7 linked regions of the Mus musculus genome follow. The protein of the gene in region 2 purifies or fractionates together with the protein of the main gene of each other region. This does not show direct contact. Links are inferred from orthologs where the notes say so. Each region holds a gene or a part of one and is shown on either strand. Other genes may lie near its edges.

What was found.
Region 1: the proteins of Ddx6 (region 2) and Nufip2 purify together in Homo sapiens (affinity purification with mass spectrometry; 6 studies listed by BioGRID and IntAct, counting the BioPlex papers as one, with this or other methods). This does not show direct contact. The link is inferred for Mus musculus from reciprocal best matches to the Homo sapiens genes DDX6 and NUFIP2.
Region 3: the proteins of Ddx6 (region 2) and Mcrip1 purify together in Homo sapiens (affinity purification with mass spectrometry; 3 studies listed by BioGRID and IntAct, with this or other methods). This does not show direct contact. The link is inferred for Mus musculus from reciprocal best matches to the Homo sapiens genes DDX6 and MCRIP1.
Region 4: the proteins of Ddx6 (region 2) and Ago2 purify together in Homo sapiens (affinity purification with western blotting; 5 studies listed by BioGRID and IntAct, with this or other methods). This does not show direct contact. The link is inferred for Mus musculus from reciprocal best matches to the Homo sapiens genes DDX6 and AGO2.
Region 5: the proteins of Ddx6 (region 2) and Lsm14a purify together in Homo sapiens (affinity purification with mass spectrometry; 4 studies listed by BioGRID and IntAct, with this or other methods). This does not show direct contact. The link is inferred for Mus musculus from reciprocal best matches to the Homo sapiens genes DDX6 and LSM14A.
Region 6: the proteins of Ddx6 (region 2) and Edc4 purify together in Homo sapiens (affinity purification with mass spectrometry; 4 studies listed by BioGRID and IntAct, counting the BioPlex papers as one, with this or other methods). This does not show direct contact. The link is inferred for Mus musculus from reciprocal best matches to the Homo sapiens genes DDX6 and EDC4.
Region 7: the proteins of Ddx6 (region 2) and Atxn2 purify together in Homo sapiens (affinity purification with mass spectrometry; 6 studies listed by BioGRID and IntAct, counting the BioPlex papers as one, with this or other methods). This does not show direct contact. The link is inferred for Mus musculus from reciprocal best matches to the Homo sapiens genes DDX6 and ATXN2.

What each region holds. Positions count from the first base shown.
Region 1 is NC_000077.6:77,688,882-77,692,987, forward strand, and holds part of Nufip2 (nuclear fragile X mental retardation-interacting protein 2), read left to right. Parts: intron 1-2,660; coding exon 2,661-4,106. UniProt on the Homo sapiens protein: Binds RNA.
Region 2 is NC_000075.6:44,628,785-44,632,890, forward strand, and holds part of Ddx6 (probable ATP-dependent RNA helicase DDX6), read left to right. Parts: intron 1-1,239; coding exon 1,240-1,356; intron 1,357-2,598; coding exon 2,599-2,662; intron 2,663-4,106.
Region 3 is NC_000077.6:120,541,980-120,544,755, reverse strand, and holds the end of Mcrip1 (mapk-regulated corepressor-interacting protein 1), read left to right. Parts: coding exon 1-75; intron 76-750; coding exon 751-852; intron 853-1,007; coding exon 1,008-1,072; 3' UTR 1,073-1,868; downstream 1,869-2,776. UniProt on the Homo sapiens protein: The phosphorylation status of MCRIP1 functions as a molecular switch to regulate epithelial-mesenchymal transition. Unphosphorylated MCRIP1 binds to and inhibits the transcriptional corepressor CTBP(s).
Region 4 is NC_000081.6:73,181,888-73,186,682, reverse strand, and holds the start of Ago2 (protein argonaute-2), read left to right. Parts: upstream 1-1,735; 5' UTR 1,736-1,900; coding exon 1,901-1,922; intron 1,923-4,795.
Region 5 is NC_000073.6:34,351,469-34,355,574, reverse strand, and holds part of Lsm14a (protein LSM14 homolog A), read left to right. Parts: intron 1-1,727; coding exon 1,728-1,910; intron 1,911-2,013; coding exon 2,014-2,185; intron 2,186-4,057; coding exon 4,058-4,106. UniProt on the Homo sapiens protein: Essential for formation of P-bodies, cytoplasmic structures that provide storage sites for translationally inactive mRNAs and protect them from degradation. Acts as a repressor of mRNA translation. May play a role in mitotic spindle assembly.
Region 6 is NC_000074.6:105,886,913-105,891,018, forward strand, and holds part of Edc4 (enhancer of mRNA-decapping protein 4), read left to right. Parts: intron 1-41; coding exon 42-125; intron 126-205; coding exon 206-301; intron 302-388; coding exon 389-491; intron 492-574; coding exon of another isoform or gene 575-593; coding exon 594-774; intron 775-869; coding exon 870-942; intron 943-1,041; coding exon 1,042-1,133; intron 1,134-1,205; coding exon of another isoform or gene 1,206-1,208; coding exon 1,209-1,396; intron 1,397-1,475; coding exon 1,476-1,606; intron 1,607-1,683; coding exon of another isoform or gene 1,684-1,686; coding exon 1,687-1,843; intron 1,844-2,191; coding exon 2,192-2,628; intron 2,629-2,712; coding exon 2,713-2,817; intron 2,818-2,906; coding exon 2,907-3,059; intron 3,060-3,148; coding exon 3,149-3,185; intron 3,186-3,327; coding exon 3,328-3,505; intron 3,506-3,609; coding exon 3,610-3,765; intron 3,766-3,852; coding exon 3,853-3,968; intron 3,969-4,055; coding exon 4,056-4,106. UniProt on the Homo sapiens protein: In the process of mRNA degradation, seems to play a role in mRNA decapping. Component of a complex containing DCP2 and DCP1A which functions in decapping of ARE-containing mRNAs. Promotes complex formation between DCP1A and DCP2.
Region 7 is NC_000071.6:121,794,714-121,798,819, forward strand, and holds part of Atxn2 (ataxin-2), read left to right. Parts: intron 1-224; coding exon 225-535; intron 536-1,659; coding exon 1,660-1,723; intron 1,724-2,509; coding exon 2,510-2,662; intron 2,663-3,011; coding exon 3,012-3,078; intron 3,079-4,106. UniProt on the Homo sapiens protein: Involved in EGFR trafficking, acting as negative regulator of endocytic EGFR internalization at the plasma membrane.

The sequences.
Region 1 (4,106 bases), on a different chromosome or scaffold from region 2:
GACAAAACATGTTGAGTAATTGCAGTGTCAAATCTAAAAGCTAGATTTATTTGGGACTCAAGTTTTGCTGAGTCCATTTGAAGTGGAGTTCTCATGGCACCCTAAATAATAAAGACACAGGGATTCTTTAATTGCTTTCTGTAATAACTACCATCTTCACATTTTTCTTAAATATCTAAGCTTTAAAAGGTACTTATCATACTTAGTGCATGTCAAGGCCATAGGGAGACAAATATGTAGTTAAGTGAATTTTTGTTTGTTTGTTTGTTTGTTTTCTTAATTTTCAGAGACAGGGCTTCTGTATAGCCCTGGCTGTCCTGGAACTCACTCTGTAGACCAGGCTGGCCTCGAACTCAGAAATCCACCTGCTTCTGCCTCACCTAAGTGCTGGGATTAAAGGCATGTGCCACCACACCCGGCTTGCCCACCTTTTAATATATATATATGTATGTATATATATATATATATATATATATATATATACACATATATATATATATAATTATGATTAATGAGCCAGAAGATACAGGTATTGCTTAACTTATAGTAGATGGTAAAGTAGTTCTTTCCTTGGTTGCCTTTGGTCCAGGCAAATCTATTGATTTGGGTCTCCCTGCCCCTAATTTTTGTTTTTGTTTGAGACAAAATTTCAGGGATACATATCTAGACTTGGCTTAACATTTTGCATTTTTTAAAAGAAAATGTTATAGAAAACAAAACCACATACTATTTTTGTCAGTTTTTAGAAAAATGGTAATGTAATGCTGGGAATATGGAATTAATTTTTTCCTAACTACTAAGGGTTGAGAATTGAACTTGATACATGGCAGTATGTTTGTTTCTGATGCAGGGCAGTGGCTGCACACATCTTTAATTCCAGTATTGGGAGGCAGAGGCAGGCAAAACTCAGTGAGTTCCAGGGTGGCTAGGGGTACACAGAAATCCTATGTCAAACAAACAAAAAATATTGTCTATAGTTGGTTTTTGTGCAACTGTGTTCTTTTCTGGAAGTTCATACAGAAGAAAAGTATTTGTTGTTTGATTATTGTTAGAATTGAGGGTTTCCCAAAGGTCTTTTGAGGTCATAAAACAATTGATAAAACTAATTGCTATTTTATTAGTGAGTAGAAAGCTGTGATTTAACCAGTAAATCACTTTTTAAAAAAGATTTATTTATTTATTCTATGTAAGAACACTGTAGTTGTCTTCTGACAACTCCAAAAGAGGGAGTCAGATCTCATTACAGATGGTTGTGAGCCACCATGTGTTTTCTGGGATTTGAACTCAGGACTTTTGGAAGAGCAGTCAGTGCTCTTAACCGCTGAGCCATCTCTCCAGCCCCCCAGTAAATCACTTCTAATAAGAGATAATTAATTGTAAGCTGATCAGTGGTGGCACACGCCTTTAATCCCAGCACTTGGGAGGCAGAAGCAGGAGGATCTCTGAGCTCAGTGATTTTGCATTCCAGCACAGTCAGGGCTACACAGAAAAACATGATTTTCTTAAAAACAAAACAAAACAAATGTTAGTTGTAAAAAGAAGTCTATGTTCAAGTACTTGACTGCTTTAGGATACTAAATTCATTTCATTGTAGTTTTGTGAGCATGAAAGTGTTGGAAGCAGGTAGGAAATTATGTGTCCTAGACAGATTCCTAGTTCTGTTACTCTGTGACCTGGATGTTAACATTTTCTCTCCTGGTGCTTTAACAACCAAGTAGAAGCTAAAAGTAAGAGAATGAGTCTTTTTTTTTTTTTTTTTTTTCCCCAAGACAGGGTTTCTCTGTGTAGCCCTGGCTGTCCTGGAACTCACTCTGTAGCCCAGGCTGGCTTTGAACTCAGAAATCCACCTGCTTCTGACTCCCAAGTGCTGGGATTAAAGGCGTGCATAAAGAGGCCTGGCTGAGAATGAGTCTTAAGGGTTACTACATATTTTTGTTTCATGTTTTATGGTATGCTGGGTTTTTTGTTTGTTTGTTTGTTTTTAAGGTTTCTGTATTATATGTAAGTACACTGTAGCTATCTTTAGTCATCCCAGAAGAGGAAAAGTCCACAGGTCTTATGGCTTTGTCTGAAATTCATTGGCAACTAGTCACTTTTAGCCCTCAGTATACTCTTTGGGGGTACAGGGAGGTTCAGTACTAGGGATTGAGTTCAGTGGTCATACAAGGGAGACAAAGGCCACAGCCTTATTTTTATTTTCCTTTTACAGGTTATTGTATCTGAAGTAGCACTGATTCTAAATAGTGTGTGAGACAGGGTTCCACCCTGTAGCTCAGGAAGGCTTCAATCATGCAATAATCATCTTGCTTCAGTTTTTCTAGCAGACTCATTGATATAATTCATAAGGTTTATTCTGTTTAGATAATTTAGAGGAGATTATGGCATGCTGCTTGAAAGGTCCTGATCTTTCTAGTTAATTCTGGCTACTGGCCCAGAAGATGGACCTGATATGAGTTGTGTCCTAGGTCTGCCTCTGCCTAGACATTGAACCCTGTATCATAATCTGTAAAAGTTTCTTTACATAAAGTTTCTTTACATAAAGATAAGATACAACAAACCCTACAATACAGCTTAGTATTGGGTTCAGTAAAGTTGTTTGGTCTTAGTACTACTGTGATTTAAATGTATGTGTTTTGTTTGTTTTTGTTTTCCTTCTATAGGCTATGGTGAAATAAACGGTAATGCTGGAGAAAGAGAAATATCTTTAAAGAGCCTCAGTTCTGATGAAGCTACCAACCCTATTTCCAGGGTCCTTAATGGCAACCAGCAAGTTGTAGAAACAAGCCTGAAGCAGACTGTAAAGACCAGCACCTTTGGAAAAGCAGGAATCAAAACCAAGAATTTTATTCAGAAAAACAGTATGGACAAAAAGAATGGGAAGTCTTATGAAAACAAATCTGGAGAGACCCAGGCTGTAGATAAGACCGATACCATAGCAATTCCAAATGGTGTTATAACAAGTAGTTCAGGCTATATTACTAATGGTTATATGAGCAAAGGAGCAGATAATGATGGTAGTGGATCTGAGAGTGGATATACCACTCCTAAAAAAAGGAAAGCTAGGCGCAATAGTGCCAAGGGTTGTGAAAACCTTAATTTAGTGCAGGACAAAATAATGCAAGAGACTAGTGTCCCAGCATTAAAACAGGGACTTGAAACTTTAAAGCCTGACTATAGTGAACAAAAGGGAATGCGAGTAGATGGTTCAAAGCCTATTTGGAAATATGAAACTGGACCTGGAGGAACAAGTCGTGGAAAACCTGCTATGGGTGACGTGCTTCGTAAAAGCTCTGATATTAAACCTGGTTTGAGTAGCAAAAAATTTGATGATCGGCCTAAAGGAAAGCATGCCTCAGCTGCTGCCTCCAAAGAGGACTCATGGACCTTGTTTAAGCCACCCCCAGTTTTTCCAGTGGACAATAGCAGTGCAAAAATAGTTCCTAAAATAAGTTATGCAAGCAAAGTTAAGGAAAACCTCAACAAAACTGTACAGAACTCCTCCGTGTCACCATCTTCATCTTCATCATCATCATCTACTGGGGAAACTCAGACCCAGTCTTCAAGTCGGTTATCCCAGGTCCCGATGTCAGCTCTGAAATCTGTTACTTCTGCCAGTTTTTCTAATGGGCCTGTTTTAGCAGGAACTGATGGAAGTGTGTACCCATCTGGGGGTCAGCCACTGCTAACGACTGCTGCTAATACTTTAACACCCATCTCTACTGGGACTGATTCTGTTCTTCAGGACATGAGTCTGGCTTCAGCAGCCGTTGAACAAATTAAATCTAGCCTTTTTATCTACCCTTCAAATATGCAAACAGTGCTGTTAAGTGCACAAGTAGATCTGCCCTCTCAGACAGATCAGCAAAACCTGGGGGATATCTTCCAGAATCAATGGGGTTTATCATTTATAAATGAGCCCAGTGCTGGCCCAGAGACTGTTATTGGAAAGTCATCAGATCATAAAGTGATGGAAGTGACATTTCAAGGAGAATATCCTGCCACTTTGGTTTCACAGGGTGCTGAAATAATTCCCTCAGGAACTGAGCATCCTGTGTTTCCCAAGGCTTATGAGCTGGAAAAACGGACTAGTCCTCAAGTTCTGGGTC
Region 2 (4,106 bases):
TTGTGCTGAGTCCTGTCCTTCACTAATTCCTAGCAAGTTGGACAATTAGATCATTTTCCCTTTCCTTTCCTTTCCTTTCCTTTCCTTTCCTTTCCTTTCCTTTCCTTTCCTTTCCTTTCCTTTCCTTTCCTTTCCATTCCTCTTCTCTTTTTTTCTTTCTTTCTTTCTCTTTCTTTCTTTCTTTCTTTCTTTCTCTTTCTCTCTCTCTCTCTCTTTCTCTCTTTTTAATTTTATTTTTGACTTTATTTTCACTGTAAAAAATCTTACTGTTTTGTAAAAAGTAGCTTTAATTGGCTTACAGTTGAAACTGATTGACACAGGTGCTTTATATTGTTAAATAATTTACTGTAATTACAGTTCATCCTTTGTGAATACTAATTGCTAAAATTTATTTGTGACCCCCAAATTAGTACTGAAGGTTTTGGTTATTCTTAGACATATACATTGTGGACTTAAAAAAAAAAATGATCCCAGCTAAGGTCCAAGAAGAGGACAGACATTCTGTCTTCTTGTTTTACTTATAAATGCTACAATTGTTTTTCAAATTTTGGTGCTGTTCATCATTCATTCCAAAATGACGGCCTCGCTGCTGCCGACGTGCTTACCTGTGTTCTGAAGCACAGGGGGACTGATGTGTACTACACAGGGAAAACATGTACTGGGTAAACCTCCTGCAGGCACGGGTTATATTGGTTAGGACTATAGACATACTAAATAAGACATGCTCAAAGAAAACACATAAATTGGCATGTTTACCAATTTATAAAATGTCACCAGAGGCTCACAAGTACTTGTCATTTTCTCTAGAAACAGTGTTGTTTTAACTTGTTTGTTTTCTTTATTTTAATGAGTCTGTGTCTGTGTGGGGTTGTACGCATATGAGTGCAGTTTCTGGAAGCATCCAGAAAAGGGTGTTAGAGCGCCCGAAGGAGAGTTACAGGTAGTTGGGGCCCACACTGTGTGAACTGAACTGAACTTGGGTCTTGTTGAATAACAGTGTGTGCTATTCACTGCAGAGCCATCTCTGTAGCCTCAAAGCAGTGGTTCTTATTTGCTGAGTCAGTGTTAGCAGCGGTGTATTGTAGGACATTACTGTGTTGTCTCTGCAAGTTAGGTGGCCCTTATGAGATAATCTTCTCTAGGTCGACAAATTTTCATCTGAAAGCTTGGCTAGATATTTTCATGATTGGATAAACAGATGCTTCTGTCTTTCTCATCTTTCTCATCTTCTGTGCTTAGCTTCAGATAAACCAGTCCATCATTTTCTGCAACTCCTCCCAGAGAGTCGAGCTACTCGCCAAGAAGATTTCTCAGCTGGGCTACTCTTGCTTTTATATCCATGCTAAAATGAGGCAGGTAAGGATAATTTCGAGAACTTGCATAGATTTAATAAAGAAATATTTTCCTAAGTATTTCTTATATTTTCTTTTGTTATAATGTTGTATAAATGCCTTGTGTGTGAGAGTAAACTGTTGTCTTAAGGTAGGTACTGCTGTATTAGTGGTAGAGCAGTGTTCCAGAAAAAGAACAAATGAACGGACTATTTAGTAGACAAAGAGACCTTCACTTAAACCAATAGGTTTAAAAAGCAGTCCAGAAATGTCAGATCTTGGGGCTGGAGAGATGGCTCAGTGGTTAAGAGCACTGACTGTTCTTCAGAAGGTCCTGAGTTCAAATCCCAGCAACCACATGGTGGCTCACAACCATCTGTAGTGAGATCTGACGCCCTCTTCTGGTGTGTCTAAAGACAGCTACGGTGTACTTAGACATTATTATTAATAATAATAGTAATAATAATAATAAATCTTTAAAAAAAAGAAATGTCAGATTGTCCATGAAGTCCTAGCATTTAAAGTAAGTGAAAAGCTCAGAGTCATTATCTGTTCCATACTAAGTTTGAAATCAGCCTGAGTGACATGAAATCCTGTGGGGAGGGAAGGGCACAGGAGACATTCTTTTGGGGGGAATTTCTAAATTTGTTCTGTTTAGTGCAATAACTTTATTACATAGCTCCATGTACCCATTAGACTAGGTAAAAGCAAATACAATTGAAAGGTTTGTTACTTAGTCAAATCCCTGAGGCTGGTGACTCCATTATTGGAGAATACCAGTGCAATTTTTTTTTTTTTTTTTTTTTTTTTTTTTTTTTACAGAATGCACTGCTCTAGATTTTAATATACAGTAACTCCTCCTTACAAAGGAGAGTTCTGAGATCCCATATCGGATACCTAAAATCATAGACAGTACCAGATTGTATGTGCATGCTTGCTATGATGCAGTTTATACATTGGATATGGTAAAACGTTCACTAGGATAATAAAATAGAATAAATATGACACTATATTTGTCATAAATGTTACGTGACTATGATCGCAGCATGGCTTATTATGCCTGTCCTTTTTGATAGAATGCTTGTATGATGGAATGAAGTGTATCATACAGACATTGAGTGATACAGCTCTAGACTGCTACAGAAGCATAGGTAGTTGTGTAAACAAATTTGGGGTTGAAGAACTGATTGGGTAAGAGAAACCATGATGAAAATTTTGAGTTGTCTATAAATTTTACTCAGTTTTTATATATCCCCCTACCCTCCAGGAACATCGAAATCGTGTCTTTCATGATTTCCGAAATGGCTTATGCCGCAATCTTGTTTGCACTGGTAAGTGTTTTTGTATTTCTTGGACCTACTGTTTTCTTAATTGGCTGGTTGGTTTTTTTGTTGTTGTTGTTGTTGGTTTTTTTGTCACATAGTGAAACCTATGTGACAGCTCCTTACACCCTGCTGCCACTTTGACAGCTTCTGAAGACAGGGGTGCCTGCTGTTTAGTTCCTAGGTTGAGAGCAGGTGCTATTCAGTGCCTGACCTTGGGTTCCTCCTAGTGCTCATGCTGCACACGTGGCTCTAAATTAGGTTTTGCATTTATGTGCTTTCTGAACAGTTCTAACATACAAGGTGAGCAAACACAAAATAAACTTTACTCGAAATTACATTTTAGAAGTTGTGTCTATTTGATTTTTTTTTTTCCCAGAATCACATTATTCTATACCGTAAGCCAAGATTTTCTAATTTTTGGTTGTTCTATTACTACAGAAAAATAAGCCTGGGTAGGGAGGGGGAGACACAAATTTAGCTCAGAAACTAATAGAATGGTGCCTTCGCACCTATGTACTTAGAATTTAATCTTACTATTAGTGTGAGAAGAAGAATCATTTGAGGAAGTAGAAGGACTTGGAGTTTGAACTATAATGTATATATTGGTAAATTGCTCATCTTTATTTTTCATGTGAATTTTCACATACGCATGTACCTATACATTCAGATAAAATTGTATTTAAGAAGTTTTGGTTGGCTGGTTGGTTTTGTTTGTTTTTGAGACAGGATACTACTATATAGCTCTTACTGGCCTGGAAATTGGATATGTAGAGCAGACTGGTCTTAAGCTCACTTCTTTTGTTAGCTGGCCTTGGCCGCTTAAGTGCTGAGATTAGAGGTGTGCAGCACCACACCTGACACAATTATATACATAATATATATATACATTAAAAGATTTATTTTAATTTGTGTCTGTGTCTATTCTGTGTCTACCACGCTTGCACAACAGGTGCCTGCGGAGGCCAGAAGAGGGCATTGTATCCCCTGGAACTGGAGTTCTCAGGCAGTTGTGAGCCTGTTGATATGGGTGCTGGAGATGAACGCACATCTTCTGGAAAGAGCAGCAAGTGCTCATGTCCAAGGAGCCATCTCTTTAGCCACCTATTTTAAAATATAGTCAGGATTTTTGGGAAAATGCACATAAACAAAACACTTGTTACTGCTACCAGATATTAAATTTGGTTATTCCTAGTAATCAGGAAGTAACTGTAAAAATAACTTTATGGAGGCAGTCATATTATTGAGTGGTTAGCTTTTTAAAGTTGTGTTTAAATATTTAGCTGTGTATAGATATTTTTTTTTTGGACATTTGGGAAACCTATAAAATAGCTTACTAGTGAAAGTAAAGTTGTTAGTCAAATTGAATATTCATAAGAAAATTGAGACTCTTGCTATCAGGCACCTGCCTCCAACTCCATTTTTCAACTTTAAATAAAAAGTTGGCTTAAGA
Region 3 (2,776 bases), on a different chromosome or scaffold from region 2:
GTCCCCGCTCTCCCACCAACAGCAGTGAGATTTTCACACCGGCACACGAAGAGAATGTGCGCTTCATTTATGAAGGTTGGTGCGCTCGGTGTCTGTGCTCTACTGCCTGCCGTGCGTGAATGCCCCACCACCCTTCCACTCTTTAGACCCTCAGTGAGGAGGGGACCATACTTCAGTGGCCTTAAACTCTAGAACCAGCAAGACTGGTGATAGAGGGACATTGGGGTGACAACGCAAGAAGAAGGCATGGGGAGTGGGTGGAAGCCCAGAAGAGGCAGGATCTGGGAGATGGTCTTCAGGCCTGGAGGCTTCCTGGGGGAGGAGGTAGCTATGAACATAGTTTCACTAAAGTGGACAGAGGTGATACAGTTAGAATTGAACAAATGTGCTGGGAGGTAGGGTGGGTAAGAGAGGTGGGAACGGGTGGCACTATTGCACAGAAGGGACTGGCCTCTGAGCAAGGGCAGGAGGAGCTGACGCAGGAGGGAGGACAGTTTGGGGCTCTCCAAGACACCCTCAGGTAGCCAAGTATGGTCAGAAGGCAGAGGCAAGTGGATCTCTGAGAATTCAACGTCTCAGACAAGACTGACAAACAGAGAAACCCTGTCTCCAAAACCAAAACCAAACCAAAACAAGCTCTCATCTAATAGAGGGAGACAGGTAGGAGCAGGGGCTACATGACCTAGCACGAGACCAGAATGCTCTGTTGGCTTGAGTACTGCTGAGCGCTGAACCTGTTGTCTGCTGCAGCCTGGCAGGGTGTTGAGCGAGACCTGCGCAGCCAGCTGTCCAGTGGTGAGCGGTGCCTAGTGGAGGAGTATGTGGAGAAAGTCCCCAACCCCAGCCTGAAGAGTGAGTAGGGCCGACCTGGAGGAGCTGACCAGGCTTCTGCTGAATGCCTGCACTGTGTCCTTTCCAAGGCACCTGGGTTTGGGAGCCTCTAGTAGTGGGAAGCGGATGGGGGGGGGGGTCCTCTTCCCAGCACCAACCAGACTGTCCACCAACAGCCTTCAAGCCCATCGACCTGAGTGACCTGAAGCGCCGGAACACGCAGGATGCCAAGAAGTCCTAGAGCTCCTGGCGCCCTCCCCTGGCCTCCAGAAGCTCAGGTGCACTTGATGGTGGTTTCCTGTGTTCCTGTGGCGCTGCTCCTGGGGGGAAGAGTGTGCTCTAGCAGGCCGTGATCCCAGAGCCAGCAGGATTGATGACCAGGGCCCTTCCTTTCCTCTCCAGGGTCTCAAGTTGCCCCTGTCACTGGGGGAACAGGGGCCTGGCTGTAACCGCCCCTGTCCTTTTCCCCTGGCCAGCTGCATCTTGGGTAGCACCTGGCCCGACCTATCTAGCCCTCTCTGCTGTTACCTGCCATGCCTTGCCCCTCTCCTTCCTGGCTACTTAAGGTCAGGAAGGAAAAAGGGGACCTCTGTTTCTTCGGCTGTTGGAACCTTGAAATGACCAGAAAGTAGGACATGTGCAGTCCCACCTGCATCCAGTGTGGCTCTCTCCATGGAGACTTGCTCTTCTTCTGCCCTGGACATGTGGGGAGCTCCCGCTTCCACCCCCACTGTCCATCCTGACCTTTCCTTGCCCCACTTTCAGAGTCGAATCAGCTCTGAGCCTAGGACAGTGCTGGCTCTCTGAGGGCAACCAGGCCTTGTGTCCTGGTACCTGTGACACTGTTGTGGTCACAGCAGTGCCCTTGGACAGGGCATTAAGGCTGACCCTGAAGGAGTGGTGCTGCCAGGCCTGTCCTGGCTTTCTGGGGTGTGCTGGGAGGATTACCAAGGCCCCCTTTTTTTGTGCCCTCTTGAATCCAAGTGTCTGTAGCTTTGGAGACTGAGGGTCTGTGAATAAAGGCGGTGGCACTGGAAGTGGCTCCATGGCAGTCTGTCAGGTCCTACCCTGAAGCCCGCAGAGCTGCCTTGCAGGTCTGTAAGCCCCTGGCCGCCAGAGTAGTCTGGTGGGTAGTAAAGTTACATTGCCCACGTGGAGCTCTGGAAGGCATTAGCACTCTTCAGCCATGCTATGGACTCTGAGGAGCACTGTTGGCTCCTTGGCTGCCCAGGCCAGGGCTGCTGGACCCAAGAGAGACCTGGTCGCATTTGACCTTCAATCATGGAAACAGCCCTGGAATGCTCCTGTTCCTGAGAAGATGCCAAAATGGAATTTATTTCAGGAACATGCTTTCCCAGAAGAGTATTCCGGGGCTCAAATGGCCCCCAGAGGCATCTCCAGGGTGTGGGCCGGGCAAGGCAAGTCTCCCCAGGGAGGCGCAGGCAAGACAGGGCAGTGAGAAATAGCTGTTCTAGGTGCCAAGCCACCCCCCCGCCCCCCATGTCTCAGCATTGTTAGTTCCCTGGGGCCTGTTAGGCTGTTTGAAGACACTCGGTGTCCTAAGCTGTGGGTTACCCAGTCAACTCCCCATTGTCAGGACTGGAAGGGGCGTGGACAGCTTAGGGGCTACCAGGACGTGGTGAGTGGTCACACTGCCCAGAATACCAGTGCATCCATCCACTGAGGGAGCAAGTAAGGTCCTAACCTGAGGACGTGCTGCCTCCTAGTGGTGCTGATTTCATCCCAGCTGTCCTAGAACACAGGGGGCTTCCTGACCCCTCCGGGAGTAGTGAGCCTACATTGGCTGAGCTGGTGCCACACACATGACCGTCAGCAACATTGTCATGCCCCAACCTCTTAAGGTGATGAGTGCTTGCTTCCTGTGGTGTTTCCCAGGCAAGGTGCCTGCTGCCAAGTCAGTCATGGATTTACTTGACAAGATTAG
Region 4 (4,795 bases), on a different chromosome or scaffold from region 2:
TCCTATACTGCCTCAGCCTTCTGGAAGCAGAGCTGGATGCATGGGAACCCTCACAATAATGGGAGTCACACCGCCAGGCTGATGTTGGCCTGTTGGCTCAGGGCCAAGCACACCGCTGCACTTAGCAACACTGACTGGATCCCATCTGCAGACACACTCTACTGTCTTTCTCACTCCACTCTAGAGGGAGCGCGCACGGTGTCCATCTTCGCTGTGATCCCTGTGATGAGCAGCAAGGCCCACAGTACCCAGGCTTCCCTGTGCTCAGAAACACGTGTGTAATCATGCGCAGAGATATATATATATTTTTGGTGGCGTTGAACCCAGGGCTTCTTGATGCCTGGCAATTTACCTACTTCATGTTCCCCAAAACGACTTCATGACTTTGGGGGTAGGATGTCAGTGCTGGGAGCAGACCCAACGTCAGTGCTCCACTGCTGAGTGAAGTCTAACACCGCCTCCCGCCGAACACCACCTCCCCCCCCCCCCCACCTCACCGCATCCCCATTAGTTCTGTGTTACCCTGACTGGTTCTGAGCCAAGATGACTCCTGAGTTCAGCAAATCCTGTCTCCATCCCTAAAGTACCAAAGTATTGGTACCGCAAGGGCTAGGTATGATTGATTACCCATTTGTGTCAATCACTTGGGAGAGGGGTGGGGGCAAGTCTTTCTTCTATGTATCCTAGACTAGATTTACGGTTGCCATCCGCCTCCCTCGACTTCTGGCTAGCTGGAATGGCAGCCCTGCAATGCTGTGTCTAGTTTCCTCCTCCTCCTCCTTTATTGGAAGGAGAGCTGCTTTTCTTGTTCCTGGGACTATCTTTGAGCACTACACAGAATATGGAGCCTACCCCGATCCTGGGGTCCCTGCAGTAGGACCCTGTTTGTCTTTGGCCTGGGTTCTCAGTATGGGCTTTGAAGACATTGCAAAGCCTGCAGGGCGAGGCAGGAGCTGACACACCCGCCTCTTCTATAGAAAGGTTCCAGAGGCAGCTGGACAGGACTAGGAGCACACGCCAGCAACAAGTGAAGAAGGGACATACGTGCACAGAGCATGCTGGTCTAGCAGGCCTCAGAGCAGAACTTGGGGGCTCGGAGGCCAGAAAGCGGGAAGCCCCGACCAGATCTGCTCCCTGACAGCTGATAAAATTTAATCCTGAACTTGCTGGGCTTCCTTGGTGCTTTGCTAGGATTATCTAGGTTGTGGAGTCGCGCCGGGAGGTGGCGGTGTGGTCACGCGCACGGGTCTGGCCGCGTCCAAGTTCAAGCTCTGGGTGGGGAGCTAGCTTCCCGTCGCCGTTTCGTTAATAACTTAAAGAGCCAGGCCGAGGTGCAGGGGCGGGTGCGTGGCGGGACGCGGCCGAGGCTCTGCCACTCGGCGCGGGAGGACTCCGACTCTGGTCGCAGTGCCGGGCTGGCCGCGCCCGGAAACCAGACGTCGCCTCGCTCGGCCGCAGGGAAGGTCTCGGCTCGCGTGCCCTGGGTCGCTTCTGGGGTCCCTCATTCAGGGCAAGCACGCGGGGGGCCGCCACAGCGAGTCCCCCCCCCCCCATCCCGCCGGCGCGCGCCGCCTCCAGCCTCCTCCCCTGCCCCCCTCTCTCCCTGCCACCTTCCCTCCTCCCCGCCTCCTCCCTCCCCGCTGTCCCCTCCTTCCCTCCCTCCCCGCCGTCCCCTCCCTCGTCGTCCCTCTCGCCCCTCCTCCTCCCCTCCCTCCTCCCGCTCCCCTCCCCCTCCGCTCCCGCCGCCTCCGCCCGCCGCCCCGGCCGCGTCGGGTAAACCTGTTCTGCGAGGCGGCCGCGCCGGGGCGGATCGAGCGGCCGGCGGCTCCTCGCGGCTCGCGGCGTCGGGGCCCGTGGAGCGCGCGGCCGGCCCTCGGCCGCGGCCCTCGGCAACGCCACCATGTACTCGGGAGCCGGCCCCGGTGAGTCCGCGCGGCGCCCGGCACTCGTGCCGCGGCGGTTGGCGGTTGGCGGGCGGGGCAGGCGAGGGCGGCGGGGCCTGTGGGGCCGCGGCGTAGCCTCGGGGCGGCCGGGCAGGGCCTCGGGGCCGGGAGGCCCAGTGCACCCGAGCAGCGCCACCGGGACGTGTGCGGGGGCCCAGGCTCGGCCTGCAACGGGTCTCCGTCCTCCCGCAGCGCTCCTCCCGCCGTTCCCGAGCGCATAGCTGTGGGGCCCAGCACGGCGGGCCTGGGGCGGGGAGCTGGACGGGTCGGGAACCGAACCACGGGGCCCCGGGACCGCGATCGGTCGCTTGGACGCAGTTTCACGCCGGGCAGCCGCCCTCCCCATTCAAGTGCTAATCGCCCTGCGATTTCCTAGCGGAGCGGGTGGCCGCCGTGGCACCCCTTTCCCACCAGCGTGCCCGTTTCTCTGGAAAAGTTCCAGAAAACTTAAAAACACGGACGCATTTCCCCACCCCGCTCCTGGAGCCGAGCGGAGGGCGGTTTACTCGCGGGGTTGAGAAAACAAGTGTTGGGGAGGCTTTTTCGCCTTCTCCCGCCAGGCACGTGGCTCCATTTCCCGGCTGCCCCGCCGCTTGCTCGGGCTCAGCCTGCACCCCTTTGTCCGCCAGGCTGTACTTGGCGCCCGCGGGCCCTCCCTGCTGCCCACCTGACCTAGTGGTTCGGCCCTGGGGCCTCCCCAGACTTCTTCACTGTGGGGTCTGGAAGCCTCCCAGATCCTCCCGGGTTCCCTATGGTGCCTGCTCCGGAGCCTAGTGCGCCTCCGCTCCTGATGTCACAGGGCTCCTCGAATGCCCACTGACCAACTTGTAAATGCGTTAAAAGGCTTCCCAACGATTTGAAGACCCTTTTAACCTTGCGCTTGGGAGGTGCCCGGGTCCTAGGGACAGATGTTGGGGCCTGGAGGTCCCTGCGAAATGGCCAGCGGCAGCCTCCTGCCAGATTGGGAACCCCCCCCCCACCCCCACCCCCCAGCTCAGCGCTGTGGAGGAACCCAGCAAATCTTAGCTCCAAATTTGTACGTTTTCCCAATGTGTCAATTTCTAGTGACTTCCTCGGGGACGAGGCCAGGCTTTCGTCAATTTCGCGTGTTGATTGATCCCTTCAGCTTGCCACAGTGGGTCTTTCTTGAAGACGCTGGACAGTGGAGGCTCAGAGAGGTTTAACATCCGGGAGCCAGCAAGCATTAGGGCAACCTGTTTGAGCACTCCCCTCTAGAAGTGGTTCCCAGTCCCTTTGACCTTGACCCGCTGTTGGAAGTACTGGTTTGGTGTGGATTAGACCAGTGAGCTCTTTGCTAGGGTGGAAGTAAGAGCCTACTGTGTGTTCTGCAAGGGGAGCTTTGTTGCCTTTAAAAAAAAGAGAGAATGCGGTAGCAACCGGTTCATTTTGGTCACTGGCAGCTTTGAAGATGGCTGCTGCGTGGGCCTCCGCATTGTGGCCTAAGAGGGAGACAGTCCCCTCTAACCAAGAAGGCCTTGGGTGAGAAAAGAGATGCCTGTAGGATAATTCTTGGCTAATGGCAGACTGGGAAGGAACTCAAGTTTCAGGTGGGCCAGTGTCTGTAATTGCAAGCCTGGAGTGCAGCTCCATTTTATTGTACATATCAAGGCTTTTAATTCTGTTTACAAGGAATCCCCCCGCCCCCATCTCTTCAAAGAGACTCCATCATATTTCCAAGTTTAGGAGAATGGAAGACCATTGGATCTGAATTATAGAAAAGCGACAGACTTTTGCTGTTTCTGAGCTTGATGGGAAGTAAATAGTAAATTAACTTTAAAAATAGAATTCACCGTGGGTTCTTATTGTGTCTGTCACAAATACTGTTAGATGTGTGAGGTTAGTAACATTGGGGGCCAAGGTTTAGAACCTCATAGGGTTTTTTTCTTTTCCTTCCTGTGCTATTGGGGTTGGTTAGTGGTTTCGGGAAGGTAAATTAACTACCCATACTGAAACTTCCTAGATAGTGGGTTCTGGGTGGGGTCCCCCCCACCCAAGGATCTTAAACTGTCTGGGAGGAGCTTTGCCTCCTGCAAGGCGGTGCTCCTGCATTCTAGAGCCCAGGAGTATTTGCTACAAAATAACCTCTGTGACTCTGGAAACTGGGTTGAGAGTTGCCAATCAGGACTGAGTCTTTGATCATTGCTGTGGCCTCCGGTGGCAGCGGTTAGCCCTGCCCCCACCCTCATTCTCCCCAATTCACAGTTTTGTCTGAGGGTACCACTGCAGCCTGGCGGCCTGTGTGTGCCGCAGGGAAAGCTCTGCCAACAGCTGGAACGCACAGCCGGTGGCTGAGCACTTGTGGGAAATCTTTCCCCCACCCTCCAGTAGCTTGTGGGGGAATTTAAATAAGTGTTCAAGAAAAAAGATGTAAAAGCTTTGACTTACACATTCTGAAGAAGCAACATTTTGTAACTTTTGAGTTTCTCTGTCAACACCATTGGTTTTATTCTTTACAAGTAAAGAGGCTGGGGCTGCCAGAATGATAAAAATGTTTCTCTTCTTCCCCCCCCCCACTTTTAAAAAATTTTATGAACTGTTATCACACAATTTAAAAAAAAGTTTCTACCGTGGACTAATTTTACAAACCTGAAAGCAAGGTGTCAAAGGATTTTGTTTCTCCTGCGCTTGTCAATGTCCCGGTCTTGTCAGCTGTCCCTTTCCCCTTTACATCCTTCGACTCATTCCAGAGGACATGTTTGTGTGCGTAGAATACAGGGAATCGCGCCGCCCCTCCCTCCCTGGGCTATAAACAGGCTGGTCTCAAACTCATCTTCCTGTCTCTGCTTCCTGAGTCCTGGGATCACAGGTCACTGTGGTGGGCTAGCGAAGGT
Region 5 (4,106 bases), on a different chromosome or scaffold from region 2:
GTTTACAAAGTGAGTTCCAGGACAGCCAGGGCTACACAGAGAAACCCTGTCTCGAAAAGACAAAAAACAAACAAAAATACCTGCTTACCTAGATATGTCTGGACGTGCTGCTAGGTGGGTTTATCCTCAAACTCAGGCAGTTTGCCATCCTCACCAAACAATGAGCACAAGCCTGTTACTCTGTAGTCACTTCTGTTTTTTTTGTCTGTATATTACAAAATTCATATAACTATTCAATTTGTACTTCATGAAATTAATCCTGCTTTGTTTTCTGCATGTTTTTAAGTTAAAGTCACACCAAGAACTACTCCAGATTCTGGGTTATTTTACTCTTAGACACACATGTGTTGGATATGTGGGGTCACAAGTTTTCACTATGAATTTTTCTACTTTATGCTGTTTATTATATCTCAGATGATTGGCTGGAATCCTGTGGTGGTGTTATAGAAAGAGAACACATAGATTCAGGAACCTGAATACATGGAACCAGGTAGAGGGAAAAACTGAAAGCAGGAAGTTCTTAGAGCCAGTAAGGACTGGTGCTTCTCTGTTGTTTTATCTGAATTGTAAGAAACACCTCCCTACCTTGCTGTCTGTGCTGATTAGTGTTCACTTACATTTTTATTGTACATCTTGTTTCCTGTTACCCATTCCACAAAGAACCTGGCACTTGGGTTTGAGGGAATAGGGCAGAAAGAAGAACAGAGCTTTCTAGAGCCTGGGTAAATATAGTGGAGAAGGCCTCAAATCTGTTGATTATACATCTATTTGTTGTGCTCTTCATAAAAACAACTATAAAAGTTATATTAAAGTTACATAAAATCTATGCTGTTTTTCATGTGCATACTAACTTTTAGCAACTTAATTCTTTTTGTTCTCTGTGTGTGTGTGTGTGTGTATGTGTGTGTGTGTGTGTGTGTGTGTGTGTGTTTATTTATGCGTATGGGCATATGTGTGCTATATTGCACCTGTAGAGGTTAGAAGATTTGCAGGAGTGCTTTGTTTTGTTTTTAATTTGTGTATATGTGCCAATGTGCACACTATCAATATGGAGGTCAGTGGACAGCTGTGGAAGTCAGTTCTCTTTCCACCATATGGGTCCGAGAGATTATACTGGGATTATCAGGCTTGACCGTAGCAACTTTATCCGCTAAGCAATCTTCTTGGGGATTGTTGTTTTAAGATTTTTTTTTCTTTAAAAAAAATGCATGTTTTGCCTGCATATTTGTATGCGTAGAGCAAGTGCCTGGTTTTAGCAGAGTCAGAAGAAGGCATCATTCACTCCCTAGAACTGGAGTTTTGAATGTGAGCCACCATGTGAGTGCTGAGAATTAAACCCAGGTTCTCTGCAAGAACAGCCGATGTCCTTAATCACAAACCCTCTCTCTAACCCACCCCCATTTCTTTTTTTCTTTTTTCTTTTTTCTTTTTTTTTTTTACAGGATTTCTCTGTGTAGCTCTGGCTGTCCTGGAACTCACTTTGTAGACCAGGCTGGCCTCGAACTCAGAAATCCGCCTGCCTCTGCCTCTCGAGTGCTGGGATTAGAGGCGTGCGCCACCACCGCTCGGCTCCATCCCCATTTCTTATTTGTATAAAAATACATCTATACTGTACAAATAGAGTTTAAACATTTATGTTATAGATCATTTCATACAAAGACCACAGTGTTATTCTAAACGAGCTAATACATACTGAATGTTATTATAAATATTCTTTATTAATATAGTTCCTGGAGTTCCTTCTGCTCCAAGAAGAGGACGTGGGGGTCATCGAGGTGGCAGGGGAAGATTTGGTATCCGTCGAGATGGTCCAATGAAATTTGAGAAAGACTTTGACTTTGAAAGTGCAAATGCACAATTTAACAAGGAGGAAATTGACAGAGAGTTTCATAATAAACTTAAACTGAAAGGTAAATTTTATTTTTCTACTCAAAAATGATTAACTTGATCTTTGAGTTAAAGATGGTTTACAACTTAGATGTGTAAAGTCTTAACTTGCATGTTTTTCCTTAGAAGATAAACTTGAGAAACAAGAGAAACCTGTAAACGGTGAAGACAAAGGAGACTCAGGAGTCGACACTCAGAACAGTGAAGGGAATGCTGATGAGGAAGATCCCCTTGGGCCCAACTGCTACTATGACAAGACCAAGTCCTTCTTTGACAACATCTCTTGTGATGATAATAGGTACTGGGTTCTGTAAGATTTATTCAGTTATATTTTATGTATATTGTTTTAGTGTTTTGTCTGCATGTTTGTTCATGTACCCGTGCATATAGTGCCCACAGGGCCAGAAAAGGTCATCCAGACCCCTTGGAATTGAAGGCGGAGATGGTTGTGAGCAGCCATGTGGGAGCTTGAGATTTAACCTAGATCCTCTGGAAGAGCCAGGGCTCTTAACTATTGAGCCATCTCTCCAGGCCTCACAGTTGTTGTTGTTGTTGTGTGTGTGTATGTGTTTGTTTTTGTTTCCTAAAAAAATTTACTATTTAAAAGTTTTTGATTCTTTCTGTGTCTGTTTGTGTGCATGCATTCTATGGAGTAGGTGTGAAAGTCAGAGGACAACCTAGAGAAATCTGTTTTCTCCTCCTACCATGTAGTTTTTCCAGGGATGAAACCCAGAAATTTGCTTGAGTCTTCATCCACAGAGCCATTTTACCAGCCCAAAAGTTGTAAATTTAAAAAAAGTGAAAGCTAGGGATGTAGTTAATGGAGGACTACTTGCCTAGCATATGCAAGGCCCTGGGTTTTATCCTAGTGACACAAAAAAGAAAAAGAATCATAGGCTTTAACCTGTAATCCCAGCACTTGAGTAAGATGGAGTCAGGAGGACAGGGGTTTAGGTTATACCTAGGGCTAGCCTAGGTTATGAGAGATCCTGTCCTGAAAAAAAAAAACAACAACAAAAAACACACTATTGTTTAAAGATGTAGTCACACCTAGATATTAGTTAAACAGCATTTGTGTAACATAAACCTTTTCGTTATCTGTCTATATTATATTCAAATGAAACCAGACCCAAGTGGAAAATACTTCTTCAGAATGGAATCATACAGTAAAACTCTGACATATTACAGTTAAAGAAGATCCAGAAGCCGGGCGTGGTGGTACACGCCTTTAATCCCAGCACTCAGGAGGCAGAGGCAGGCGGATTTCTGAGTTTGAGGCCAGCCTGTTCTACAAAGTGAGTTCCAGGACAACCAGGACTATACAGAGAAAAACCAAAAAAAGAAAAAGAAAAAAAAAAAAAAGAAGAAGATCCAGAAAATTTCTAATTGTCAAAAAGAAATGACTTAGCACATTAAGCTAAGAGCTGCAGAAGTCTGCTGCCCGCATCACATTGCCTTTGTCCTGACTGTAGCTCAGTGCCCCCTGGAGGCAACTGTTGGCTTCAGTGTAAATATGGACAGGGAGGCCTGAGTGCTAGTAGGCTGGATGATTGGTGGAACAGTGTAGGCACTTGCTGGGTTAATTTCATCAGGTCCAGAGATTGAGCTAGGATACTAGGACCTCCATCTCTACCAAGGCTTTCCCTACCAGCTCTGTCCTCTCTTCTGTGGCTTGAGTGAAATCAATCACAAGTCCTTTGGGTCTTAATTATCTTCATATGAAAGCCTTTAGCATCTTTTTTTCTTTTTCTTTTTTTTTTTTTTTGTTTTGTTTTGTTTTGTTTTTGTTTTTTCGAGACAGGGTTTTTTTCTCTGTGTAGCCCTGGCTGTCCTGGAACTCACTCTGTAGACCAGGCTGGCCTCAAACTCAGAAACCTGCTTGCCTCTGCCTCCCAAGTCCTGGGATTAAAGGCGTGCGCCACCACTGCCCAGCTCTTTAGCATCTATCAATTGTATTTATAAGAAACAAGCCTCTGTGTCATGTGAAAGCATACTGCAGGAGTGTACAGAGCTTGCATGCCATTAGAGCTGGGAGAGTCTAGATTGCCTGCTCTTATTTCTTCAATTGAGCTCGAGAAATCAATTAAATGTGTCAGGAATTGGGGCTGCATAGATTTGCTGAAAGATGCACTTTTTGGGTTGATGTGCTAATGTCCCTCTTACATAACAGAGAAAGGAGACCAACTTGGGCTGAAGAAAGAAGGTTAAATGCTGAAACT
Region 6 (4,106 bases), on a different chromosome or scaffold from region 2:
GACAGATCATTCACTCTAACTGTTCACCTGTCTGCTTGCAGGTGTCTGCATGAATGGAAGCCTCATGATGGGAGGCCTCTTTCTTGCCTCCTGTTCTGTGATAACCATAAGAAACAGGATCCTGAGTGAGTGAGCGGGCAGGCAAGTAGGTGGGCTTTTCTGTGGGCTTCTAGCTGGTAACCAGTCAGTGCCTGTTGCTTTTCAGGGTCCCGTTCTGGAGGTTCCTCATAACCGGCGCCGACCAGAATCGAGAGCTGAAGATGTGGTGCACAGTGTCCTGGACCTGCCTGCAAACCATTCGGTAAACTAGAATGAGGGAGGTAGACCGGGGATATAGCTTCTTTGAATTCTCAGTCTTACTTACTTGGTCTGCTTCTTGGCTTCCTAGCTTCTCCCCAGATATCTTCAGCTCAGTGAGTGTGCCTCCCAGCCTCAAAGTTTGTTTGGACCTCTCAGCAGAGTATTTGATTCTTAGTGATGTGCAACGAAAGGTAGGCTGCTATGGTGGTACGCTGGAAAGAGCTGGTGTTGCTGGGCAGGGCAGGGCTATGTGACATAGCCTCCGTTGAGTTAGGAGTGTGTTGCTCATGCAGGTCCTCTATGTGATGGAGCTGCTGCAGAACCAGGACGAGGGCCGCGCGTGCTTTAGTTCTATCTCTGAGTTCCTGCTCACCCACCCTGTGCTGAGCTTTGGCATCCAGGTTGTCAGTCGCTGCCGGCTACGGCACACTGAGGTCCTGCCTGCTGAGGAGGAGAATGACAGTCTGGGGACCGGTGAGTTGCCCAGGGGCAGGATTATACGTTGGTATGTGGGAAGTGTCCAGGCACAGAGCAGGCCAAGGCCTTAATGATCCACACTGTCCTTTCAGAGAGTTCCCATGGAGCTGGAGCCTTGGAATCCGCAGCTGGTGTGCTTATCAAGCTCTTTTGTGTGCACACTAAGTGAGTGTCAGGCAGGCCTGCCATGTCCTGTCTATGTTCCCCCTACCCTATGGCCCTGGCCTTTTTGAGTATTCTCTTCTCCCCTTTGCTGCTCTTTAGGGCACTACAAGATGTGCAGATCCGCTTCCAGCCACAGCTGAACCCTGATGTGGTGGCCCCACTCTCTACCCACACTGCCCACGAGGACTTCAGTGAGTAAGGGAACAGGAGGGAGACAGGTTCCACTGCTGTGGCTTGGAGACCTGACTAGGCAGCTTTCCCAGCAGCATTTGGAGAGTCTCGACCTGAACTAGGCTCCGAGGGGCTAGCTTCAGCTGCTCATGGTTCCCAGCCTGACCTGCGGCGCATTGTGGAACTGCCTGCTCCTGCAGACTTCCTCAGTCTGAGCAGTGAGACCAAGCCCAAGTTGATGACACCTGATGCTTTCATGACACCTACTGCCTCCCTGCAGCAGGTACTTCCTTCCTCAGTGGAGAGAGCTCTGGTAGTGTCCCATTAGCTGACCTTCGTGCTTATTCTCTGGATTTTCCCAGATCTCTGCATCCCCTAGTAGTAGCAGCAGCAGTAGCAGCAGCAGCAGTAGCAGCAGCAGCAGCAGCAGCAGCTCTCTAACAGCTGTGTCTGCTGTGAGCAGCTCCTCAGCCATGGACCCTTCCTTGCCCAGGTAAGATAAAAATCAGAATTGGGTCTAGTGCCAGTCTGAGATGGATTACAATTGCTAATGCTTTACCTTTCTGCCAGTAGACCACCTGAGGAGCTGACCTTGAGCCCCAAGCTGCAGCTAGATGGCAGCCTGACGCTAAACAGCAGCAGCAGCAGCCTGCAGGCAAGCCCTCGAAGCCTCCTTCCGGGCCTGCTCCCAGGCCCAGCTGACAAGTTGATTTCCAAGGGACCTGGTCAGGTGTGTTGGGGGGTGGGGGGTGGGGGGAGGAAGGGAGGAAGGGGAGGGTATGTGTGTGGGGATATGCATGAGTATAAAGTACTGGGTAGCAGCAGGTGTAGGTCGATGGGAAAGATTGGAGCACTCTATTCCTGCATATTTTTCTGCTGACCCTGATGGGCCTTGGAAGTGTGACATTTCCCCAAAGGTTAGAGCGGCCTCTCATTGCCATCTCTCGTGAGCTGTGGCCCTACTTTCCAACTGCATCTCTCTTTCCTGCTACATTATGGCCGTCACTGCAGATCCCAGTGACTTGTTTTTGCGCCCCTTAGCCCCTGTTACTTAAGCCTTTGTCTTTGCCCTTCTCAGGTATCCACTGCTGCCTCTGCACTGTCCTTGGATTTGCAGGAAGTGGAGCCATTAGGGCTACCCCAGGCCTCCCCAAGTCGAACCCGTTCTCCTGATGTGATCTCCTCAGCATCCACTGCCCTGTCCCAGGACATTCCTGAAATCGCATCTGAGGCCCTGTCCCGTGGCTTTGGCTCCTCTGTTCCTGAGGGCCTCATTGAGCCAGACAGCATGGCCTCAGCTGCCTCAGCACTACACCTACTCTCTCCTCGGCCCAGGCAAGGCCCTGAGCTTGGCTCTCAGCTGGGTCTGGATGGAGGCCCTGGAGATGGGGATAGGCATAGTACCCCTTCCCTGCTGGAAGCAGCCCTGACCCAGGAAGTTGCAACCCCTGACAGTCAAGTCTGGCCTACGGCACCTGACATTACTCGTGAGACCTGTAGCACACTGACAGAAAGGTGAGAAGCTTAGAAGGGGAAAATTATGCTTGGGGTGGGAGGGACATTAGGATTAGCCACTCCTGAGCCAGTGTATTTCCTTAGCCCCAGGAATGGCCTCCAGGAAAAGCACAAAAGTCTGGCTTTCCACAGGCCACCTTATCACTTGCTGCAGCAACGTGACAGTCAGGACACAAGTGCTGAGCAAAGGTGAGCGCCACCTGGGTCTATGTGCTCCTCTGTGAAGGAGAGCCATTAGTAGGGGGACAGCAGGTGAGCAGGCTCTTCCCCTTCCACAGTGACCATGATGATGAGGTTGCCAGCCTTGCCTCTGCCTCAGGAGGTTTTGGCAGCAAAATTCCTACTCCACGGCTGCCTTCCAAGGATTGGAAGACGAAGGGATCCCCTCGGACGTCACCTAAGCTCAAGAGAAAAAGCAAGAAGGATGATGGGTAGGAGGATAGGAGGCTTCTGGGACCAGGGCCAGGGGTGGTCTCCTAAGCTGCCTGATGTGACCTGCAATGCTTTTTTGCCTATGTAGGGATTCAGCTGTGGGATCCCGGCTCACAGAGCACCAGGTATGTAAGGGAGGACCTTCTACCTATGGGACCCCATCCCAAGGTGGGGGGGGGACACACTTTGAGCTATTTCTTTTTTGGGGCGGGAGGGGGTGGAGATAGACAGGATAGACATTGTGTAAGTTGTCAGTGCTTCTGGCAGGTGGCAGAGCCCCCTGAAGACTGGCCAGCACTAATTTGGCAGCAGCAAAGAGAGCTGGCAGAGCTATGGCACAACCAAGAAGAACTGCTACAGCGTCTCTGTGCCCAGCTTGAAGGTCTTCAGAGTACTGTCACAGACCATGTAGAGCGTGCCCTGGAGACGCGGCATGAGCAGGAGCGTATCCTTGGGGTAGTGGCACAGCATGGTAGTAAGATGCGGTAGCATTCTTGCCTAGGAAAGGCGTAGGTCCTGTTGTAGGCCTGTTCCTTAGCTCCACCACAGAACGGCGGCTGGAACGGGCACTGGCTGAGGGGCAGCAACGGGGTGGGCAGCTGCAGGAGCAGCTGACACAGCAGCTATCCCAGGCATTGTCTTCAGCTGTGGCTGGGCGGCTAGAGCGCAGCGTAAGGGATGAAATCAAGAAAACGGTTCCTCCATGTGAGTTTTCCATGAGCTTTCTTTCAAGTGGGCTGGGTGAGTGTAGGGCTTTTTCAAACTTCTGGTTCATCCACCTGCCTCTCCTAGGTGTCTCCAGAAGTCTGGAGCCTGTTGCAGGTCAACTAAGCAACTCAGTGGCTACCAAGCTTACAGCTGTGGAAGGCAGCATGAAAGAGAATATCTCTAAGCTACTCAAGTCCAAGGTGATGTAGGATCCAGGTTGGGGGAAGTGTAGCTAGACAGGCCAGGTTGGGCTCAGGCTTTCAACTTGACCCCTCTCTATATTTTAGAACTTAACAGATGCCATTGCCCGAGCAGCTGCAGACACGTTACAGGGACCA
Region 7 (4,106 bases), on a different chromosome or scaffold from region 2:
CAGATCACAGTGAGTTCAGGACCAGCCTGGTCTACATAGAGAGTTCCAGTACAGCTACACTCAGGTTACACACAGAGACCCTGTTCTGTCTTAACAAACAGACAAGTCCACCAAAAAGGCCATATTCTGAAAATAATGAAAACAGAAAACCTATTCAAAGTATTTTCATTGCCATCACATACTACTTGGCTTATACTTAATGGGAAATTATTTCTTATATTTAGTTACAGCCAAGCTCTACATCTGAATCTATGGATCAACTACTAAGCAAAAATAGAGAAGGAGAAAAGTCACGAGATTTGATTAAAGATAAAACGGAAGCAAGTGCTAAGGATAGTTTCATTGACAGCAGCAGCAGCAGCAGCAACTGTACCAGTGGCAGCAGCAAGACCAACAGCCCTAGCATCTCCCCTTCCATGCTTAGTAATGCAGAGCACAAGAGGGGGCCTGAGGTCACATCCCAAGGGGTGCAGACTTCCAGCCCAGCCTGCAAACAAGAGAAGGATGACAGAGAAGAGAAGAAAGACACAACAGAGTGAGTAACCTGGGTCTCAGCACATGCTCTCTCCGAGTAACCTGCTTTAAGGGGTTTTCTGTTCCATAGTAACTGTTACATAGAGCTGGGGTTAGAAATCTGAGCTGAATCTAGTCATTGGGTTCTTAGCATTCTTCCCATTCTGACTTGTTTGCAGCTGTGGGGGTAAGAAAAGCTACTTCTATGGAGATAAGAGTTTAAATTTGAATGCCCTGTCTCGGGGTTCTGGTTCTGCCTAACCCTGCAGTCTGCAAGGACTATTTGCTGCCCCAGTTGAGGAAATGTTTAGTTGATAAGCACATCTTTATAAACCTTATTTCTGTGCATCTGGCATTTAAAAGCACTTAAATAGATAAACTAGTGGGTTAGCCTCAGACATAATCACCACTCCCTTTTTGTGTTCTGGATAACAAAAAAAAAAACTAATTGTACTTGAACTATTTATTCTTGATTTGCAGAAAAATAATTTTACTAGAGCAATGGTAAACCCAAGGCATGTGATTAAAACATTTTGACACATTTAAAATTGCTGCGTATGCTACAGGTGGTGGAAGGGCTTTGTTAACACAGCACTTGGGCATCTGAGGCTGTTGATCCTAAGTTTGAGGCCAGCCTGGATCCATTGCAAGGCCTAATCTTTAAAAAAAAAAAAAAATTAGAACTACTGTGAACTCATTAAGCATTGGTGTTTTATCTGCCTGTCTGTCTGTACACCACACACTTGCTGTACCTTCAGAGGCCAAAAGAGGGTGTCAGATGCCTGAAACTGTAGTTATAGATAGATGGATTAATAAACCCAGTCCTATGGAGTGGCAGCTGTTTAGCTGTCACTTAACCTCATTAGGCACCCTTTTAAGGGGCTGCGACTTACCAGTTGAAATATTCGGTGATTGCTTTTGAGGGATGTGGTTTCTTTGGTTTTCATTTGTTCTCGTATGGTTAGTTTCTTCATCAGATTAAGCAGCAGAGGTGTGTGTTTCAGTAAAGGAGACTGAGACATGGAGAGTTACTCACATCTGCTCTATGTCAGCAATCCTCTGAAAGCTGACGAGTGTGGCGCAGTTGAGAAAGCCGCAGCCCCATGATGTTTCACTGGCCTGCTTGTTGTTTTCTTTCTTTCTTAGGCAGGTTAGGAAATCGACATTGAATCCCAATGCAAAGGAGTTCAACCCTCGTTCTTTCTCTCAGGTAAGCGCTAGCCTTTTACAGCTGGTCTGAAGAGACGTCACTGCGCTCTTCATGGCTTTCTCCTGAGCTCCCATCTGACTGAGCCCAGTTGTAGGACCCTGAGACAGCCTGGCCTCCAGGCTTGTGGGATGTCCCCAAGCTTGTCAGTCCTGCTGTGCCGCTGTGAGGGACAGCTCAGTGTAAGCTCACAACGACTGAGGCTGTCAGGCCAAAGAAGCCCACTCACTAACTACACAAGAGAGTCCATTTCCTCGGGAAGGCATAGGAGAACATGCCTGTATTCTTAGCAAACAGGAGACCGGGGCAAAAGGGTCATGATTTTGTGGTCAGTTTGGGCCACATAGTGAGATCCCCACCCCAAAACACAAAAATGAAAAGAAAAAAATGGATAGACCTTTTCTGGTTCCTTGTAAAATTATTACAATTTTTATATCTTTTTTTCATTGATAAATATTTTAGCTTGATTAGATATGATACAGTGTTGATACCAAATCTGTGTTTATGCCAGCCCTCTAACACTGAGAAATGTCTGCAGCCTAAGTTTTCCCTTTTTTAACCCCTGGAAACTGAATCAACTTCTTACATGCTAGCCTCTGGATGTTTTGTTTGCCTGTTTGTTTGTTTGTTTGTTTTGCTTTGCTTTATCTTTAGAATAAAAAAATGCTAGTTAAAAACAAATAGGCAGAACAATCAGGGAAGCTGCTTTGAATATTGTTTTCATAGATGCTTTTCATCTTGACAGAGTTGATGTTGAATTCTGTTTTTGTTGTTGTTGTTGTTTTGTAGCCAAAGCCTTCTACTACCCCAACGTCACCTCGGCCTCAAGCACAACCCAGCCCATCTATGGTGGGTCATCAGCAGCCAGCTCCAGTGTACACTCAGCCTGTGTGCTTCGCACCCAATATGATGTATCCCGTCCCAGTGAGCCCGGGCGTACAAGTAAGTTCCATGGGTTACAATTTGCTGGACACCATAGCTTGCATTTAGCACAAGTGTCCTAGGTGGGCACTAAGTGGGACACCTGATAGCAAGTAGTGTTAAGAGTGGGCAGTGGGTAGGGGTGGTGTATTGTATCATTAGCATGTGGATCTAAGTTTTAGGATTAATTTTCAGAAAAAAATGACTTACATTTACTATAGGCCAGAGTTGTTCCTTTTAGTTGTGGGTATTAATTTGAATAGCTCACAGGGAATCAAGAAAACACTGGCCAGATCACATTAAAAGACAGTGATAGAATGAATATATTGTTACCATATGAATCTAATGATGTGTTTTCAATTCCCTCAAGCCTTTATACCCAATACCTATGACGCCCATGCCTGTGAACCAAGCCAAGACATATAGAGCAGGTAAAGGTGAGAATAACCCTGCCTGTGTTTGCTTGTGTCTGCATGCTGCATGAGTTTAGCACCTGTGTGCAATGAATAGTTGGCTTCAGCTTGAATTCACAGGGTATGTGTTCACTTGTGATGGCCAACGTGAGTATTCAAGTGATCACATAGTAATCATGTGAGAGAAAAAAATATAAATAAACTTTGTATGTGGTGTGTGGGTATGTGCATGTGTGCACTCAGTATACATGGAGGTTAAAAGAACACTGTAGGAGTTCCTCCTGGTGGGTTCTAGGATCAACCTCAGGTCATCAGATTTGGCCACAAATACCTTTACCTGATGAGCCATCTTGCCAACCCAATAAATGTCCATCCCCATCCCAGTCACCTACACCTTTACCACCCACACTCCACCCTACCCTACCCCCACACAGAGTCTCTCTCTCTCTTACCTTGTAGCCTTGACTAGCTTGGAACTTACTTTATAGACCAGACTTTTGTGGAATTCCTATAAATCTTCCTGCCCCCCCAAGTGCTGGCACTAAAGGTGTGCCCACTACACTCGGCCTTCTTTTTAAAGATGCATTTTGAGGCTGGAGAATTGGATCATTGGTTAAGAGTGCATGCTGCTCTTGCAGAGGACCCAGGCTTGATATCCAGCTCTCACGTGGTGCCTCACGACTTATCTGTAACTAACTCCAGTCCCAGGGAATCCAGTGCCCTCTTCTGGACTCCATGCATACCAGGCATACACACATGTATCAATATACATGCAGGCAAAACACTCATACACATATAAATATCTGTATTTTTTTTCTATATATGAACATTTTGCTAGCGTGTTTGTACTTGTACTGTATGGACACACGGAAGCCAAAAAAAGGCAGCAGAACCCCTGGGACTGGTATCACAGACAGCTGTGAGCTGCCTTGTACATGCTGGGAACCTGAACTCTGATCCTCTGTAAGAACATCAAGTGCCTTAACTGATAATTCTCTCTAGCCTCTGTTTGGTATTTTTTGCCAAAAGAAATAAATTTTAGAAATTTCAAG